2 linked regions of the Arabidopsis thaliana genome follow. The protein of the gene in region 1 interacts with the protein of each later gene in a pairwise test. Each region holds a gene or a part of one and is shown in the gene's direction. Other genes may lie near its edges.

Region 1 (3,756 bases):
CAAAATGCATTGTGTCGCATAGAGAGACCATTAAGAAAAAAATTCAATTAGTTCTTAATTAATATTTTAATAATAATTAGATAAATTGGGGCCTTTATAGTCTTCATTTGTCCTCAATAGCCATTATCCAATAAAATATTACCAGTTTCATTTGATATTTTTGTGTCATATTTTTACCATTTAAGACTTTTCACAATTCGAATAGCCATGAACAATAAAAATCTACGAGTTTCATTTGATATTTTTTTTTTTTTGCCGAATACATTTAAGACTTTCACTTCTACTAACCATGAACAATGGTCTCCCAATTACAAAATATATTTTTGAATCATTGGACTACCATAAATGATTAGTGTCTTTTTTGTATTACATGTAACGTAAAAATACCATTCTTCAAGCATTCATAACAATTTTTTTTTTGTCAAGATACATAACGTAAATTTGAATTTCGTAATAACGATACTAGCACAATTTAGCTTAGAATATGTCCAATTTTTTTTTTTATTTTGAAAGGAGATAGATATATAAATATTATATACATGGATATCGGTGAAATTATGTTTATTATCTATGCCTATCGTTTGATAAAACTTGTATATTTTATGGACGGTGACACAGCCCGGTTCACTATGCCTCGAGCCGTATAATGATCATAAAGAACAGAACTGGTTACTATTATCAGGTTCAACAAATCCATTTTTTGATATTTTGTGTGGCTATCAGTCTATCACATAAAATGGAAAAAGAATTAAGAGAAAGAAGAAAAACAAAACAATGACTTGTAATTAAAGTGCAATAATTGATTGACTTATCAAATTTATTAGAAGAATAAAATATTTACGGAATTTAGAAAAAGCTAGTTGAAAAGAATAAGGACCGTTTGGTATAAAGAGATTGTGAAAAAAGTCACAAACACAATAGGTCCAGAAACGGTGACGTGACACACAGATCGAAACTCAGCATCGATCGACGATCGTCATCATATACCATTTATCCCTTTAGCCTCAAGCCACAAGAACAAATCTTATTTTATAGTACTATTTTTAACCGAAAGAATCCGATCGACAATGAAATAAATATCGAACTCATATCAAGTGCTAACTCTAGGTTTTGCCATTAATTTTGCGTTTTCCAATCGAGCTAAAAACAATTGATCGTCTATTAAAAAAATAAAAATTCCTATGATCGCTTTTTCGATCTAAAACTAATTTTTAGTAATAGTAATACCTGTTAAAGTATAAATATCCCTCCCAAGTACTGAAAACTCAAACCTGAACGAGCTAGCCTAGGACTCAACTTTTATCTCGAAAGAATCTTTGAATATTACTTTTGAAAATAAGTGAGTCTAATCCTTGAAGATATATGTTTTAAAGTTTTTTTTAGCAAATGCGATTGAGAAAACATATATTTTAACTTCAAGATAATCATTACTGTATGAAAGTATGGATAATTAATTAGAAGAAACGTTGTTCAAAAATTGGTTAGTCGTTTATAATTACCAAAATAATAAAACAATTATTAATACGCTTGCATAGACTAATTAGTTTTTTTTTTTCCTAAGCTTACTAAAGTGATCTGATAAAAATCATGTATGGAAGCATGAAAGTAATAAAAAAATATCAAGTTTCAAAATTTTAGTCTTTCATATTTATGTACATTTATATATATACGCATGCGTAGACTATAATCAGTCATTTTCGTGTTTTGTCTATACAATTACTAAAAACTGATTTAATCAAAATCGTGATATGTTTTCTATTTCTGACCACTTAATATAAACGATCGATTTGTAGAATTTGATGGCAACCAATCAAAGGTTACCGTTAGATATAATGTCTATATATAAATAGTATCCCCTTTTGGCATCTTGCATAATAGTACCAAACACCTATCTAATCTCAAATTAAATATTTAAATATTTATAAAATGAGGATCATTATCACTTCTTCGAAAAGCTAAGCAGCAAAGAAACAAATCTCACAAAGACAGTTGTTCTTATAATAATAGAAGAAAATTGAGGGATTAGGAACACTATTATTACAACATCTTTCTGTCAAATAAAATATTTAGCTTAAGGAAAAAATTTAAAATCAAGATTATTTAATTAAAAAAATCACATAGGAATGTTATGATGATATAAGTTTTTGTCTTCAAATGTCAACTAAATTCCGGTAATTTCCACACACTTGTCCGTACTTGCCTATATAAACATACACACCCTCATAAACATATATCAAAATTTTACACTTATGCTCTTCATATCACATACAACAAACTCATATATATAAAAACTTTAACCTTCGTATAGCAACGATCTAGTAGAAAGCTTATACTAAAACTTTCTGATTCTCTTAATATGGCGGAGGAGTTTAAAGCTACGGCATCGATTTGTGGTGGCGGAGGTGGCGCGTGGTGGAACTCGCCAAGGAGCGTTATGTCTCCTTCGGATCATTTCTTGTCACCATGCTTCGGAGCGGCTATCACTTCCAATGATTTTAGCTCGCAAGAGAATCATCTCAAATCTAGGATGACTTGTACGGACAACAACAACATCGTTTTCGGGCAGCGAGAGGCGGATTCTGACAGTGGAGGAAGTACCGTGACGATGGACTCGACGTTGCAGATGATGGGTCTAGGGTTTTCCTCAAATTGTTCTTCAGATTGGAACCAAACCATTTTGTAAACTTCTTAAAGAAAAACCCTAACTTAATTTTTTTTGTTCACTTTCTTGATGAACAAGATTGAAGATTTTTAATAATAATCATGAGATCTCTTTTGTTCTTGTTTTGTATTTTTCAGACAAGAAGACTTAAACTCAAGCTTCATAAGGAGCTCACAAGATCAAGATCATGGCCAAGGATTCTTATCCACAACTACTTCACCTTATATACTTAATCCAGCTTGTTCTTCATCTCCATCAACTTCTTCGTCCTCAAGCTTGATACGAACCTTTTACGATCCCGAACCAAGTCCATACAACTTTGTCTCCACCACAAGTGGTTCAATCAACGATCCTCAACTTTCTTGGGCTAATAAGACAAATCCTCATCATCAAGTAGCTTATGGACTAATTAACAGCTTCTCTAACAACGCAAACTCTCGACCCTTTTGGAATTCTTCATCAACCACTAACTTAAACAACACGACGCCGAGCAATTTTGTAACCACTCCGCAGATAATATCTACTCGTTTGGAGGACAAAACCAAGGTAAATTATCTCATATATGTCAAAATAATTTTGCTACTATATAAGTTTTGTGGCTATATTATTGAATTTATTTATTTATTTATTTTTGTTGAGAAGAATCTGAAGACAAGAGCTCAGAGTGAGTCTTTGAAGAGAGCAAAGGATAATGAATCTGCGGCGAAGAAACCGAGAGTCACCACGCCTTCACCGTTGCCAACTTTCAAGGTACATGATCATATTTCAAGATTTGTTTAAGACCTTTTATTTTAATTCAATTTCTTGGTGGATAAAATGGATTGTATATGTAACAGGTGAGAAAAGAGAATCTAAGGGACCAGATAACTTCATTACAACAACTAGTTTCACCTTTCGGAAAGGTGAATGATTTATGTGTTTACTTTATTTTATATGGCTTAATATATACAACCAAAAGCATTTATTTTCCCTTGGTTATGTATTGAGCTTCTTAGTTTGTTTATTTTGTATATCTTTGGGTTAAACTTCAGACAGATACTGCATCTGTTCTCCAAGAAGCTATAGAGTACATCAAGTTCCTTCACGACCAAGTC
Region 2 (3,756 bases), about 22 Mb from region 1:
CCGCATATCTTAGATATCATTCAAATTACATAAATAACTTGAAATCCCGAATCGGAACCTGGATCAAGCACAAGAACTCTTACCTGAAATCAAGCCTTTCGTCAAGGTACAATGCGTAAGTCCTGACAAACGCAGAGTAGTCCCAAGAATTAGACCTCGAAACATCCCTAAAATCAGACATATTGAGAAGCCTTGTTCCACGGCGAGTGGCGAAGAAGATCTCTTGCTCGTAGGCTTGATCTCCTTCTCCTAAGAGCCTTTGGATCAAAATCAAGGTTTTGAGGGCAACGGTCCAGCATTTGGTTTTATTAAGGCGTCTCGAAAGCGTGCTAACGCAAGCGTTGATGTAACTGCGTGAGTAAGAAGTTAGGCTAAGAATCTCTCTAATGTATTTCTCTTCTGCTGGAAACTCTTCGTGACGAGTGGCTTTGACGATGGCTACGTCAAGTTCAGATAAAGAAGCGCTTCGACCATTGACTTTGGCTAGACCGACGCTGGTTTGGTCCTTTACGGCTCCTATGGCTCGTTTAAACTTACTCGAACCCATTTTTATTCTGATTAGTTAGTAAATTTGTATTAAAGACAAAAAAAAGAAAAGAAAATATGTAAAAGAAAAGATTTGAAGAGAGAAAAGGGAAGAACGAGGCTTGTTTTTATTTTGTTTTTGTTTTTCCTCGTCGTTTCCTTTTTTCTCCTCTGTTTCTTGTTTAGTTTTGTTTTGTTTCTTCTTCTTCTTCTTCTATGTTTTTGTTTGTTTGTTTCGTCAATGTAGTTTCTTTGTTGTTCGTCGATTATTCACCATCTAAAGTCGCCGAGGTTATTGGAGGCTTTGTCCGGTGAGAAATATGGCCACGTGGCAAAAAATTAACTTATTGTTTGACGGGTCAACTGAAATTTAGTTTGCATTTGCCATTAATGGGTAAGGAGAAGAGTACTGATTAAAGAGGAAAAAACTTTCTTCTAATTTGTAAAAAAAAATACACCAAGCTTTTTTCTTATGGATTGGAAGCCCAAGATTGAATTATGGAATCCAACAAATCAAAATCGATCCAAGCCCATTTCTGCTGACATATTTTTTACTCGTATTATATTCAGAAATGCCACAATTTTGTTTTGTGAAAAATAGAAAAACCCTTGTCTCTCAAAATGGAAAACGAGTCGGACAACGGTTCAGCACTAAGGAGAAGCAAGTTGTAATACCATATGGCAAAATGAAACGTGTCATTTTTATATTGGATATTAGAAACTTTACTCCATGAGTGCTAAATTTCGGAAAAAACGACAAAGACAGATTTTTTTAAAAAAATCTTATTTTCTACCACTAACGAGATGACGACGACCCCGACAATGCGTAGAATTTTTCCCATATCATTTATATATTTTAAAAAAAGAAAGTTATATTGGTTTTTAACATTCTACTAAAAAGAGTTTGGTAAAAGACCTTTTTCTTAATTTGATATGAATAAATTGAAGAAAGTCAAAACAAAAAGCCCACTTCAAAACAAATAAAGCCCACTTCAAGTTTCTGGAAGGTATATAAGAACAAGGGCAAAACCGAAAATAAACCACAAAGTAAGGTCCTTTTAACAAAAATAAAATGAAAGAGAGCATAAAGTGAGTCTTTTTGTCATATCCTTTCTCGTCTGTGTCTCTTCGTCCTCATTAGCTTAAGCATCATCATTCTCTCACCTAACAACTCCACACAAGATTCTTCGCATGGAAAGTTGTTCTTCGACTTCTCTTCTCTAACTCGCTATCTTTTAACTCACCCAGCTCCACTGAGTCGAAAATTTCAAACCTTTACTCGTTTCCTTCATGGCTAATAACAACAACATCCCACATGATAGCATCTCCGATCCATCTCCTACCGACGATTTCTTCGAGCAGATCCTCGGGCTTTCCAACTTCTCCGGTTCTTCAGGTTCTGGTCTCTCTGGAATCGGCGGCGTGGGTCCACCTCCGATGATGCTTCAGCTTGGTTCAGGCAACGAAGGGAATCATAATCATATGGGTGCCATTGGAGGAGGTGGACCTGTAGGGTTTCATAATCAGATGTTTCCGTTGGGATTAAGTCTCGATCAAGGGAAAGGACATGGCTTTCTTAAACCTGATGAAACTGGTAAACGTTTCCAAGACGATGTTCTTGATAATCGATGTTCCTCTATGAAACCTGTAAGTTTCTCTTCAGAATCTTCACTTTGTCTTTTTCTTTTGTGTTCTCGAGAAAATAAAGTGAAATTCAAATCTTTAGGGTTTCAAAATGGTGTCGTTTTTGAGAAAACCCAGCTTAGGTCTAAATTTGATAGTTACCGAGAGTTTTTGGCTCAGATTGGTGAGATTTGATGTTTTTGAAGAAACCCAAGTTGAAGATTTTGATGTGTTTTAAAGTCATAACACTAAAATTAGTTTTGCAAGAAACTTTAGTATAAAAGAGTGTTCTTTTATGTCCAAATTATATTGTAAGAAAATTTGCTCTTTAGTTTCTTTTCTCATGTGGATAATTCCGTCATAGTTTGAATTGTTGCTATAACTACTCTAGTGGCGACCGTTCTTGTGAGAAGCGGTTTTTAAGCTTTTCTTAATGTTATTACGGCATTGTTTTGTGTTTTGTTGAAGATTTTCCATGGGCAGCCAATGTCACAGCCAGCTCCACCAATGCCGCATCAACAGTCTACTATTCGGCCTAGAGTTAGGGCTAGGCGAGGTCAAGCTACCGATCCACATAGCATCGCTGAGAGGGTAAGATGTTTGATACACTTTTTTTATCTTCTGGTCTCTTTTTTCGATTTTTATGTGATAATGTTTGATCAAAGCTTTAATTATAGCTTTTGGTTGAGAAAGTTCGATTAGTTCTTACTTACTAAGAACGGTAAGACCTAACCTGAATGTATTTGCTTTGCAACAGCTCCGAAGGGAAAGAATAGCAGAACGGATCAGGTCGTTGCAGGAACTTGTACCTACCGTTAACAAGGTTGGTATCTTTTTCTCTAGAGCTTCAGCTACTGTTTTCATGTCGCGAAGAGAGCTTGAAAGAGATTTTAAAAGTAGGGAGAAAACTAGAGTTGTCAATGAGAGAAAAGTTTTGTGATTGGCATATAGAAACTGCGGTATTCACATCTGTTTCTTTTGCTTTCCTTTTGCAGACAGATAGGGCTGCTATGATCGACGAGATTGTCGATTATGTAAAGTTTCTCAGGCTCCAAGTTAAGGTAAACACCCAAGTCATTTTCAGTTTTCTATTCTCTGGTTTTTGAAAATGCTATCATTAAAAGTTTGTAGAAAGATTATTTAAAACAGCCAGAAGGATTTAGTGGTGTAAATCCTTGGTCCCCACCACCACCTACTCTCTTAAACCAAACTTCCAATCTTAATAAAAGATTATAATTGTTTAATCTGGCAATAAAGAGTAATCAAAGAGTACATGATTGTGTGTTTTTTGGCATTAGTGTCTTTCACTTTTTGCTTGCTTCCCTCCCATGGAGAATCATCACAATTGAGGACTATTGTAATAAAGCTAATGAGAACATTGAAGAATATTTTATGCAATGATGGGCTTTGATAATATTTTTCCTTCATAAGCTTTATCTCTGGTCAACTATGGCAGGTCCTGAGCATGAGCCGTCTTGGTGGAGCCGGTGCTGTCGCACCACTAGTCACTGAAATGCCATTATCTTCATCAGTTGAGGTTAGACTAGAGAGAGATACTTCATTAAAAAAAGAACAGAACTTTGGTAATGGTTTTTCTTGCACTGACTT

Evidence for each region. Proteins that work in one complex are often made in the same cells at the same time.
Region 2: the proteins of AT1G61660 (region 1) and AT1G03040 interact in binary tests that used the Arabidopsis thaliana proteins (3 or more experiments, as listed by UniProt).

The regions. Positions count from the first base shown.
Region 1 is NC_003070.9:22,754,772-22,758,527, reverse strand, and holds the start of AT1G61660 (basic helix-loop-helix (bHLH) DNA-binding superfamily protein), read left to right. Parts: upstream 1-2,156; 5' UTR 2,157-2,356; coding exon 2,357-2,679; intron 2,680-2,799; coding exon 2,800-3,208; intron 3,209-3,304; coding exon 3,305-3,412; intron 3,413-3,498; coding exon 3,499-3,564; coding exon of another isoform or gene 3,565-3,648; exon of another isoform or gene 3,649-3,693; coding exon 3,694-3,756.
Region 2 is NC_003070.9:704,517-708,272, reverse strand, and holds the start of AT1G03040 (basic helix-loop-helix (bHLH) DNA-binding superfamily protein), read left to right. Parts: upstream 1-1,608; 5' UTR 1,609-1,815; coding exon 1,816-2,172; intron 2,173-2,616; coding exon 2,617-2,739; intron 2,740-2,905; coding exon 2,906-2,971; intron 2,972-3,143; coding exon 3,144-3,209; intron 3,210-3,604; coding exon 3,605-3,756. Other genes in the region: AT1G03050 (ENTH/ANTH/VHS superfamily protein), read right to left, coding at 84-547.